Callithrix jacchus: one gene and its partners. The protein of the gene in region 1 binds, or shares a complex with, the protein of each later gene. Links are inferred from orthologs where the notes say so. Each region holds a gene or a part of one and is shown on either strand. Other genes may lie near its edges. The genes, in order: CACNA2D1, CACNA1E and CACNA1C.

Region 1 (3,646 bases):
AAGATGGAAATAATACCCACTCGAGGGTATTAGGCACTTAAAGTGTGACAAGTGTGACTGAGGCACATTTTAATTGTAATTAATTTAACTTGAGTTGAAATTTCAATAGCCACTTGTGTGTGGTAACTACTGCACTGGACAACACAGACCAGAACAGAATCAAGGGTTTTGAATTCCATCCCGTTTTGTCCGCACCTTAAGCTGATTCTACTTTAGTAACAAAATGTAAATATATCACTAAAGTACTTTCTTTATGATTAAAGAAGTGGGATTTTATGTTTTTGCCCTGTTAAGCTTTGATTTTCATAAAGCAAATTAAAAGGAAAGTATGATTCAATTTAATGTCTTGGTTATATTGACCTTTACTTTACAATTTAACTTAGTTCTTTAAGCACACATTGCTCTTGCTGGATGTCCATTAATAAAAGACCAATTTCTGGGAAACTCTGATGTATCCAATAAACATGCCACAGTTCCATTTCCTGAAGTCTATAGCCTGATATGCTCATCTTTAAACAAGATAGTCTACTTTTTTTGTGAGTTCATCCTCCCCTTTCTTTTTCTCTTCATATACTCTACCTCCTCCTTGGACACAGAGAGTTTCTAAAGAAAGTCATAAAACATACTGACCACATCTACTAAAAATTCATGATTGTTTAGCCCCTCTTGAAGAAAAAAAAAGGTTTTTTGTTCAACTATTCTGGCACTTCCATAATCTCAGATTACCTCACCTCCTCGTATTTCTTCCTCTGTGGTAAAATTTCTTCTAGAATAACCTTCCCTCCACCTCTACAGACAAAGCGTCTCAATTCTATGCTTTGCAAGCTGTGACTTGCTGCTCTGTTCCCAGGGATCCGGTGGCATTACTTATGACTTTCCCCTCAAAATCTTCATTTTGCCTTTCTCCTCTATCCTCATTACAATGAAATTAAATTCTCCATCTCTTCCCAACATTTTAAAAGATGTTTTATGGATACTAACATTAACAATGATCTAAGAAAACTATATATTCCCAGTTCCTTCAAATTCAAATTAGGCTAACATTCAGTTCTTCAAGTCAGAGAAGATTAGAAGTGAAAACAAAACAAGACTTTTTTGTAAATCTGTTTAGTTACAATATTGCAAAAGTAATCATATTTGCCTTAGAATTATTTAGAATTAGCAATATATTTAATTTTGCAAATTTGTATGTTCACATTTTTTTCTAAAAGTACCCATTTAAAAAATTTCTAATATAATGAAATTTATCTGTGTTCTGCCTAAAGGGAAAGTAATTATCTTGATCATTTAATTATTATTATTGAAGAAATAACAACTAATTTATCAAAGTTAGAATTTTAGAAAACTATAATTTTTAAAAGCCTAAAGAGAAGATCTCTGACATCAACTTAAAACAATTACTCATAACTCTGACTTCAACATAATTTTCAGTATTTTCTGTAATGATACAATTTCTTAATGAAATCAGACTACTCTAGAAATAAATAAATAAGTTACCTGGAACAGTTTCCACAGTCTAATACACTACTGAATGATTTACTGTCGTTATCGAAGAAATACTGGGTTTGTTCAGTAATGCAGCTCTGCTTTGACAGGGAGGTCGTAAAGTCATCATCCTCCATCTCAACTTGTCAGGGGTAAAAACAAAGAACATCATTAGGAAGGGCCACTGTAGTCGGTCACCCGGAGTCTTCATGTCTTACAGAGCAAAATAAATGTATAAGACCAGGATGCCTCGACTAGCGGCTTGTTTATTGCTGTGTACGATCATGGCAGTCCCTAGTAGAGGCCTGATAAATATCAATAGAATAAATTAATTCAAATACATGATAGCTATGAGTTCAAGGCCAATGTGACCTATGTGATTTCTAAAACATTAGAAAAGGCTGGACAAAAAGTTTCTAGCTCTAAAATTATGAGACTGGTGATCTGTTTTCTCTTTCTGACACATATATTCTCTGAATTTGTTGAACTCAAGCACATCCAAAAAGAAAATTTTATTATGACAAGGTGTGAGCATTTACATACCTGCCTCAAGGAGTCGTGGAAAGGTCAAACTCAAGAGAAACTGCTGTAGAATAGACCTGAATTTTTCAAATAAATAAAATAATAAAAATCTAGGAAACGAAGTGTTTTTGCATGTACACATACGCATAAATACTGTTTCCCTTTATCCTTTTGGGAAAAAAATGAGAGATTGAGAATTTGTTCATAGAAAGTTTAGGAGTGTTTTAAGTACTTTTTAAATTATATAACACATTGTAACCTTTCTTTAATGTGTAAAAGAAGTAATTAAGTCAGAAGTGTTCAGATCTTGTTCAGGACCCAGTGAGAGACAATGTGTGAAGAGGCCTAACAGGCAATCTTATCAACCAGAAGTATCCACTCTAAGAGGCAGAAGGTCAGTGCTTCAGTGCATAGGTTTTTAAATTCATTACTTCTCCTTATTTTAGATTTTAAAACCATTTGTTTTTTTGGGTTCCCCCCATCCCCAACAAAGGAACAATGCAGTTTATACCATGGGTTTGAATTTGTTAACTATTTACTTTGTAATATAGAATATATTTGTAAAGATGTAATGTGACATTCATAGAACAAAATATTCATATGATGTACAGAGATACAGCATATTTGAGTTTTATAGTAATGGACCACTGAGCCAAATATCTAGAACTGAATTTAGTTGTAAAAATGCGGGGGAGGCGATATAAAGGCAAGTATTTCAGGGTTATGATGAAATTTTAAAGCCTACCAAAGTTAGTATATAAAATCACATCAGAATTTTCTAAATCTTTTCAAAATCTAAAATTTTAAAATCGTCTTTGCTACTTTAATGATATAATCACTAAATATAAATAAACCTCAATATAAAATTAATGTTGTAGATTAATCTACATGGAATAGGGTTGAACAATACAGTACTATGATAATACGAAAAAAAAAAAAACCGGAAGGGAGAAAGGGACAAGGGAGATCATGGATCCCTGACATAACAGGTGGTTTAATTACCTGACTGACCAGAACTAAACATTGAGAAATGTGACTTTGCAGACTTTCCACAGTGCCACAATTAACCACTTACATGTCTTATTTTCATAGGTTGTAGGGTACATAGGTGGGGGATAGGGGAGGTTTGGAAGGTAGAATCAATGAAAAGAAAGAATTAGATCCATTTTAGCAACATGATGCCTCTACACTATGCCAGTCCTTGTATTAATAGTAAAGAGGTAGAAGGTTGCCATTATGTCATGAGTTTGATGAATGTAGACATCCAACTTGGATATTAAGGACAATTAAATTGTAACCTCTTACAGATCAATACACCTAAAAGAAATTAATATAGCATTTAAAAAATATTTAAAAAATGAAAAGAATTTCAACTGATGTATAGAAGAAAGAAAGGTTAAAAAGGTCATAACATGCTAAAATCCTTAACTGTATGTTTTAATGGGACCAGTACTAAAATGTAAAATGCAATAACAAACATGAAGAAAAACTTCAGACTCTAAAGGGGCTGAAGTTTACATCAGCATAACACTGTTTTCATATGAGAAACTGAATGGTAACTTCATAGTGTTCACTTAGCAAAAAATTTAAACATTACCAGTAAGTGCTATAGAGAATGAAAAAATCTTAATTCCTTTAA
Region 2 (4,133 bases), on another chromosome or scaffold:
GACAAGGCTTTAAAATAAAGTTTTATCAGGACAGTCATGCCCACTCATTACGTATTCTCTGGCTGCTTTCATGGTACCACAGCAGAGTTTGAGTAGTTGCAACAGAGACTGTATGGCATGCAAAGCTCAAAATATTTATGTTCTGGCCCTCTGCAACAGAGACTATGTGGCATGCAAAGCCTGAAATATTTATTTTCTGGCCCTTTGGAGAGTTTGCCAATCCTTGCTCTAGAGAGTTTTGTACTGGCATTTACATGCTAGTCTTAAGTAACTTATATCACTTCCACTCACAACTCACTGGCCAGAATGGTCACATGGCCCCACTTAACCATAGAGGGCCAGGAAATACATCCTACCATGTGCCCAAGAGGGGGATAATCAGAATATTTGACAAACAGCACTAATGGCCACCATAAGCACCTACTATGAGTTGAAATCAGTACCAGGTGCTAGGAATAGAAAGATGAACAAGACAAAATCTTTGATCTCAAGGAATTTAAGGAATGCCAGAATTTGGGGATTGGAGGGGGAAGGCTAAGTATAGATTCAAGTGTCCTTTCCTAGAAGATATAGACTGGCTTGTCTGAATTGCTTGAGATCTCAGCTTGGTGCTAGCCAGAACTGGGGACTGACCGGCTTGGCAAACAGTGGGGGCGACAGATCCTCCTGATGAACGTTTATATCAATAATAGAAGGCTTGTTTAACAGAAATTCTTAAAGGAAAGAGAAGATGATTTTATGTTTTGATATTCATAACACTGATTCTGTTAAAGCCAGAGCTCCACAGTGCATATTATTGCTGTTGTAATGTTGGCAAAGATGTGCTTCAAATTGGCAAAGTGTCTGAGAAGAGGAAATCATGTAAGGAGAGAGAGTGGGGTGGGTCAGGAAATGGAGGTGGGAGCCAGCTACTGGTGGCCTGGTGAGAGGTGGGAGGGCGGCCCTGTAGCCTTTGTCACAGAGAGACATGAGGGAGAGGAGGCTGCAGCCAGCAGAGCCTGAGAATTCTTGGAGTTGCTGGAGATGCTAAGGCCTGGAGAGGGAGTGGGAGCAGCACGGAAGGGGTGTGTGCGTGCATGTGGTGAGGGAGAGACATTTAAACATCGTAGGAATGAAGGATAAATTTAAAATCCCTCAAGGGGAGTTGAGACAGAATGACAACGTGAAGAACATGAATCACTCTTTCTAGGGACCCACCCTGCTGTTGGCATGATTTGGGATACATTTTCTCCTCCGTACCAAGCTCATTCTGGACCCTTTGTCTTCCTTCTTCCTGCTCCCTTGACCTGGCCTCGGTGGCCATGTACCTAGTGCTGGCTACCATGTCCTGGGAGCTTCAAGATCAAAAACATTGAGGCTGTAGGGTGTGGTGCCGGTAGGGTGAGGAAGACCAGTACAGACGTTAGAGATGGAGAAGGAGACAAAGAGAAGGTATCTTAGGGCTCTAGGGACACCCAGGGCTACTGAATGCTCCCATCAGGCTTTATCAGGTATGTGCTAAGATCATCCTCTCATCCAGCCTTTTTGTTTCTATTTGCTGTCTTAGCATAATGAGGAGGGGGGTGGGGGCTGGGAGAGGCATTTATGGATTCTGCTCCATGTGCTAGAGACATATGATTAATGTAGTGGAGAAAACCGTAAGCTAGGACTTGAAATCTGACTTCTCTCCCAGCTCTGCTTTTTATTGGCAGTGTGATCCTGGGCGGGGCTCTCTACCTTTCTGGATCTCAGCATCCATAAAATGATACGGTTAGAGCATTAAGATTTCTAACCATTGAAATAGTCTTTGTATTTGTGATTTGCAATTTGACTTGCAGTCCAGCCCAGGGAAGGGGTGGTGCCTGGAGGGTAGCGTCCGGGAGGATGCCACCCTGGGGGCCCTGCACAGCTCCCAACATGTAGTAGGGGCTCAACCATCCCACACTAGTTGAATGATCTGGAGGCCCGGGCTCCTCTGAGCACATAGAGCATGGCCTACTTCTTAGATGCCACTTTGTGGTCACTAAGACATGTGGTTGGGAGGAATTCCGGTTTGCGGCTCCTGGCTAGGAGGGAGACAATAAGCAGGTATCTTGAAAAGGTGGTAAGTTCAGGCTGTCTCAAGTCAGAAGGGCTGGTTCCCTGCCCCCGTCCCTGGACTCCATCCTTAGACTTACTATGGGGACTAGCGGTGTGTGGGTAACTTTTAAGTTTCTCATTAGGTTAAACCTTTGCTAATTGGAGCATGTCAAGGTCTGGTATGAGCCACCCACCTGGAATGCTGTGTTCACTTGGGCACGTCCATAAGGCGTGAAACAGGGAAACACCTCATTGGCTTTGGATTCAGCCTTTAGGGGTGTAGTAGTGGAGGAGCAGTGCACAAAGGAGGAGAGAGGAGTGACCAGCAGGGCAGGAGGAATCCTTGGTTTCCCTAAATCCTCCCTCACACACATGCTCTTCCTTTTTGCCCATACTCCTTTCCTGTTCCTCACCTGGCAAGCTCTGTTTAACCCAGCTCTAGGTCCTTTCCTTCACAAAGCCCTCCTGACCACCCCCAGCTGGGCTAGGTATCCCTCTTTTTTTTCTTTTTTGAGATCGAGTCTCATTCTGTCACCCAGGCTGGAGTGCAATGGTGTGATCTTGGCTCATTTCAACCTCTGTCCCCTGGGTTCAGGTGATTCTCCTGCCTTGCCTCCCGAGAGGCACACACCACCACACCTGGCTATTTTTTGTATTTTTTGTATTTCACCATATTGGCCAGGCTGGACTCGAACTCTTGACCTCAAGTGATCCACTTGCCTTGGCCTCCCAAAATGCTGGGATTACAGGCGTGAGCCACCGCGCCCAACCAGGTGCCCCTCACATGTGCTCCTCTAGCAATCAGGCCTGTGCCAATTACAGCACATCCTGTCATGGTCATAATCAGTGTTCTTCCTGTCTCTCCCATGAGGATGCTGTGGACTAAGTCCAGCTCCTGTTGTTGTGCCCACTGCATGGCACAGTGCCCAGCACATGGTAAGCCCTCAGTAAACACCGGTTCAATGTGTATGTCTTTCAGAGGCCAATGTGGCTGTATCCTCCTTGGCATGGAAAAGGAGAATGATGCCAAGGGGAGCAACAGGAGCACCTGAGTCACACGTGGCCCCCAGGTCCTGAGGCAGATACATGCATTAAAAAAGGAGGAAGGAGGCCGGGCACGGTGGCTCAAGCCTGTAATCCCAGCACTTTGGGAGGCTGAGGCGGGTGGATCACGAGGTCAAGAGATCGAGACCATCGTGGTCAACATGGTGAAACCCCGTCTCTACTAAAGATACAAAAATTAGCTGGGCATGGTGGCACGTGCCTGTAGTCCCAGCTACTCAGGAGGCTGAGGCGGGAGAATTGCTTGAACCCAGGAGGCGGAGGTTGCGGTGAGCCAAGATCGCGCCATTGCACTCCAGCCTGGGTAACAAGAGCAAAACTCCATCTCAAAAAACAAAAGGAGGAAGGAACCTGCAGACAGGACTCAGTTCTCAAGAAGAGCTCTCCGTAGGCTGGGCTCAGAGGCAATGCTTGTAATCCCAGTACTTTGGGTGGCTGAGTCAGGAGGATTGCTTGAGTCCAGGAGTTTGAGACCAGTCTAGGCAACATGGGGAGATGCCATCTCTACAAAAAATAAAAAAAAATATTGCTGGCTGTGGTGGCACGTGCCTGTGGTCCCAGCTACTTGGGAGGCTGAGAGAGGAGGATTGTCTGACCCTGGGAGGTTGATGCTGCAGTGAGCTATGATTGCGCCATTGAACTCCAGTCTGGGTGACAGATCGTACCTCAAAACGAATAAATAAAAAAACGCCCACCTTGAGGCTTGGTCCCCTGGGAGCACGTGCTTGGGAGGCAGGGCAGCAGGTGGTGGGTGGGAATTCCCTCAAAGGAGTTGGGCCCTGGGGAAAGGGTTAGAGGGATTCTTCCACCAAAAATGGGAGTGAACAGCCACCTAGCTATCTGAGGTGGGGCTGATATGCGCAGCCCTCAGGGTTCCCGTCTTTACTGTGGCCCCTGAAACCTTACCACTGGTGCATATCATTAGTTCTTTAACCTCTGTCTTCTACCTTAGACTGTGAAGTTTATGAGGGCAAGAATCCAGTCCACTTTGTGAAATTCTGGACACCTGGCGC
Region 3 (3,646 bases), on another chromosome or scaffold:
CCTATTTTGATGGTGTCCTTGATTCTGACACTGGCCCCGTGGGGCAAAGGCACAGAGTGGAAGCCTCACCTGGAGGGGTTTGCTCTCCTGAACAGAAGGCAGTGAGCCTGAGTCCCTCCTGAGCCAGAATCCCTCCTGAGCTCCAGATCCTCACACACTAGGACGTGCCTTTCCCTCCTGGGACAGGGTCTTATGCTCACAGGCCATGCCTTCTTTAGCTCTGGACCAAGGCCTCTTCCTTTTCCTGTCTAGCTCAGCTCAGTGCCTCCCTCTGTCTTGCTTTCTGTAGACCTTGCATGCTGGGCCCACTTTATCCTCGGATCCCCGAGAGCATCAGGGAAAGATCCTGGTCCATCCTCTCAGAGCTGAGGGCTAGATCAGTGCCCTGGCTCTGAGCATCACTGGCAGGGTAGGAGCAGTTCTCTCTCTTAAGGAGGCCTGCAGATTGCCACTCCCACTGCAGTGGGAAAGAAAGGTTACAGGTGGGAGCTCCAGGAGGATTGGGAGGGGAGGGAAGTGGAGCGAGCTTTGGCGAGGGTGTGGGGGGAGGAGTTGGAGGTGCAGAGCGGAGCAGGCAGGAAACAGCACTTCTGGGAGCCACCGGGCACAGGACGTGCTGGCCCATTCTTAGCACAGGCAACGCCAGGGCCTGAGCTGCCCTTAGCTTTGAGCTGTGACAGAGAGGACAAGGGAGCTGGGATGTGGGTTATGCTCCTCTTCTTCACCAAGCTGAAGCTTGGTGCCCTGTTGTTTGTACTGTCTGCAGTGGGCAGAGGGAACCAACATTTCATGAGCACTGACTGTGTGCTGGGTGCTTTGCGTGTTTTGCTTCATGGAGAGATGTATCTGTGGGGACAAGGAAATTCCCCAGGGTCTCCTCCCCAGCTCCTCTAAACATCTCTTCCCCCTTTTGTCACAGAGAACAAAGCCTCACAGGAAAATGCCCTTAGAGGGTAGGGATTGAATTCACCCTGAGATGCTGAAGATGGACATGGAGCCCTCCTTCAGCAGAGGCTTTGGTGAGGCCAGCAGGGGAGAAGGGGTGTGGGGATCCAGTACCTGAGTCCTCAAAGGCTGTGGGGGGAAGGGGAGTGAGGTTGCAGAGAAGGGTGAGGCCCCCACAACAAATGCAGGCCCCCAAGACTAGATGCCTAGATTAGATCCTCTCCTATGTAAAGCCAGCCCTTGAGGCCAGCACATCAAATCCAGGGCTGAGCAAGCTGCCCTGAGCACAGAAGGCAGCAGTGCAGGCCTCGTGAGCTGAGGGATGCCCCAGTGCTGCCTCTGGGTGGCTAAACCAGCCACCTTGCAGAAAGGAAAGCAGACAGGGGGATGGTCTTTCTAACTTGCCTGTCATCTGACACAATTAAATGCCTGGCCCTAGGGGCTTGCATGCAGCCACTTGAAAATGGGCCCTCTGGGGGGATGGGCAGGCCCACGGCAGGTACCTGCTTCTTGGATGGACACTTTTCCAGGGGTTTGGTGAGAAGCTTCCACTTCTCTTACTATTTTCTGAGCTGGAGGGCAGGCATGTCAGGAGGCTGACATGCTGGGGCGCTGTGCCGCCGGCTGGGAGCCACTGTCCTACTCTGGAAAAGCAGCACAGTTAAGCGGGACTAGGCACCTCTCTCAGCCCCACCAGGGAACGCTGGAGCTGCTGATGCTGACAGGGAGGAGCTCTGCAGGGGCCCAGGGTGGGAGGGAAGTCCCACCATCCCAGCATGTCAGAGCAGTGCATCCTAGAGCACAGGGGATCAGAGGACAAGGAGAAAATACAGCAGGGTGGCCAGCCTCCCGCTTACCTCTGGGAGCTGAGCTTCCAGGCCACCTCCTGCACCCGGATGGCAGGGGACAAGGGGGGCCCATGGCCCTCCACAGTGCTGACCGTGCTGGGGTGGCCAGTGGGGCGGGGGAGGCGGCCCAGGGCGGTGTTGTTGGCATTGTTGATGTTGGCATTGGAGCCGGTGGACGAGTAGCTGCTGGGAGTGAAGGTGGAATCCACCAGCTTCTCGTGGGAAGGCGACTCTGTGTCACCCTGGCTGCTGCCTGCCTTGTTGATGTGCAGCGGGCGCTGAGTGGTGAAGGTCTGGGGGAAGGCGCTCCGGCCGTCACTTTGGTAGTAGCTGACGTGGTTGCCGAAGAGGCCACCGGCCCTCTGTAGGCAAGAAGGACAGGTGGGTGGAGGAGAAGCCCCTCAGTGTCCACCCCTCCCAGAGAGCAGCTTCCACAGTCTGGCCAGTGGAATGCAGGGCCCGGGAAGGCGGGCTGCCTTCCTTTGGGGAGGCACAGCCCTGCTGGGAGCCAGGAGCACCTGAGGTCCTTCTTCATACCTGGCTGCTCCAGAGTGGGAGGGACCCACAGTCTCAAGGCTCCGGGCTCCCCTCTGCGGTAGCTGGGAGAACCCACACACTGGTAGGGATGGGACTGTGCAAGAGGCTCCCGCTGGTATAAGCTGCCCTGGAGGTTTCCAGTGAAGTCCCTGAAGGCTGGGAGCGAGTTTCCAGGGCACATCTAGGACAGCGGTCCCTGAGAGCAGCCAGCACACCGTGAGGGTGGGGGCTGGGAAAACGACCAGAAGATTCTAACCAGATTAAAAATCAATAAATCTGATGTGCTCACGGAGCTAAAAGCTGTGTCGGCCAAACGGTTTTGAAAATGAGGAATTTCCTGCATGATGCTCTTTTTCCCCTCAGGGATTCACAGATAGTTCAAGCCAAGAGCCAGTGTTTTCCCTGAGTATCTTCTCCTTGTCCTGGGGAAGTGGGCAAGGAGCTATTTGCAAGGTTGCAAACTTTGACACCAGAACATCCCTGGGCCTTGGTGACTGAGCCTTTGATTTCTGGGATCATGTCAGGTGGAGTCACAATCATGCCATGTCCCTGAGGCTACTTAGTGACGAATGTCTCAGGTGATGAGGATAAGGATAAGGAAGAGAAGGAGCAGGGGCAGGATGGGCTCGGCTTGCCTCCTGTGTGTTCCACAGCCTGGGAACTGGGCCCTGGGCTGGGAGCAGGTGTGAACAGGGCCCTGCACGATTATGACTGGCAACTTCTCCCTTGCTATAGGAGGAGTTTTAACCAAATACCAGCGGGGTGAGGCAGGTAACACATGTGAGGTATAAATGCCCCTTATTCCGGTACAGCTGTGTTTAATTTTCACTATTGCAACTGCTGGGCAGCTTCAGTCTCCAGGAAGGGAGAGGGAAGGGGGAGGACTGGAGGGGCTTGGAGATCTGCAGAACACATGCTATGCTCCATCTCAAGGGGCAGCTGCCACTAGGCTCCAGCCCTCTGCTGCCCTGCCGGAATGCAAGCTCAAAATTGCAGGTCTCCTGACTTTTCCAAGGAATGCCAGGAGTCTTGATTTTGACCTGAATGTGCCAGATTTTCAAATAGTAGCAAACCAAACAAGCCTGCAGATTAGATATGCCCAGGGTGACCACTTTATAACTTCTGATATAGAAGTTTCTCTTCTCCTAGGAAACATTTCCCTTGGGGAGACACTGTGAAATGCCGTTTCCAGGGAGCCCTGCCTTGGGACGGAGTCAGGCTTGGAAAAGGCAAAGGGGTGAGGACACAGCTGATCAGGAAGAGCCTGGAAGTGGCCCTGTCCTCTGGTGCGGCTCTTTCCCCTGGACGTTCTCCGC

The links.
Region 2: the proteins of CACNA2D1 (region 1) and CACNA1E are in contact, whole or in part, in a cryo-EM structure (PDB 8EPM), measured with the Homo sapiens proteins. The link is inferred for Callithrix jacchus from reciprocal best matches to the Homo sapiens genes CACNA2D1 and CACNA1E. Residues at the interface, in NP_001353796.1 of Homo sapiens: Thr170, Asp171, Tyr173, Ile233, Leu235, Ser261, Gly262, Ser263, Ser265, Gly266, Leu267, Lys270, Ala327, Lys328, Gly329, Ile330, Thr331, Glu366, Gln391, Asn393, Tyr394, Ile416, Gly417; in NP_001192222.1 of Homo sapiens: Gln110, Leu112, Pro113, Glu114, Asp115, Asp116, Lys117, Pro119, Arg122, Asn630, Phe631, Asn632, Asp633, Gly634, Ile1330, Gly1331, Asn1332, Val1334, His1336, Met1341, Val1343, Arg1346, Arg1393, Ser1394.
Region 3: the proteins of CACNA2D1 (region 1) and CACNA1C are in contact, whole or in part, in a cryo-EM structure (PDB 8WEA), measured with the Homo sapiens proteins. The link is inferred for Callithrix jacchus from reciprocal best matches to the Homo sapiens genes CACNA2D1 and CACNA1C. Residues at the interface, in NP_001353796.1 of Homo sapiens: Thr170, Asp171, Tyr173, Ile233, Leu235, Gly262, Ser263, Ser265, Lys270, Thr274, Ala327, Lys328, Gly329, Ile330, Glu366, Gln391, His392, Tyr394, Ile416, Gly417; in NP_955630.3 of Homo sapiens: Phe147, Pro148, Glu149, Asp150, Asp151, Ser152, Asn153, Ala154, Asn678, Lys1090, Gly1091, Asn1092, Tyr1093, Ile1094, Tyr1096, Gly1099, Val1101, Pro1104, Ile1106, Arg1109, Tyr1156.

Annotation. Positions count from the first base shown.
Region 1 is NC_133512.1:67,910,690-67,914,335, reverse strand, and holds part of CACNA2D1 (voltage-dependent calcium channel subunit alpha-2/delta-1), read right to left. Parts: intron 2,085-3,646; coding exon 2,029-2,084; intron 1,628-2,028; coding exon 1,498-1,627; intron 1-1,497. UniProt on the Homo sapiens protein: The alpha-2/delta subunit of voltage-dependent calcium channels regulates calcium current density and activation/inactivation kinetics of the calcium channel. Plays an important role in excitation-contraction coupling.
Region 2 is NC_133519.1:39,669,248-39,673,380, forward strand, and holds the start of CACNA1E (voltage-dependent R-type calcium channel subunit alpha-1E), read left to right. Parts: upstream 1-1,216; 5' UTR 1,217-1,408; coding exon 1,409-1,490; intron 1,491-4,133. UniProt on the Homo sapiens protein: Voltage-sensitive calcium channels (VSCC) mediate the entry of calcium ions into excitable cells.
Region 3 is NC_133510.1:15,911,558-15,915,203, reverse strand, and holds part of CACNA1C (voltage-dependent L-type calcium channel subunit alpha-1C), read right to left. Parts: intron 2,156-3,646; coding exon 1,803-2,155; intron 1-1,802. UniProt on the Homo sapiens protein: Pore-forming, alpha-1C subunit of the voltage-gated calcium channel that gives rise to L-type calcium currents. Mediates influx of calcium ions into the cytoplasm, and thereby triggers calcium release from the sarcoplasm.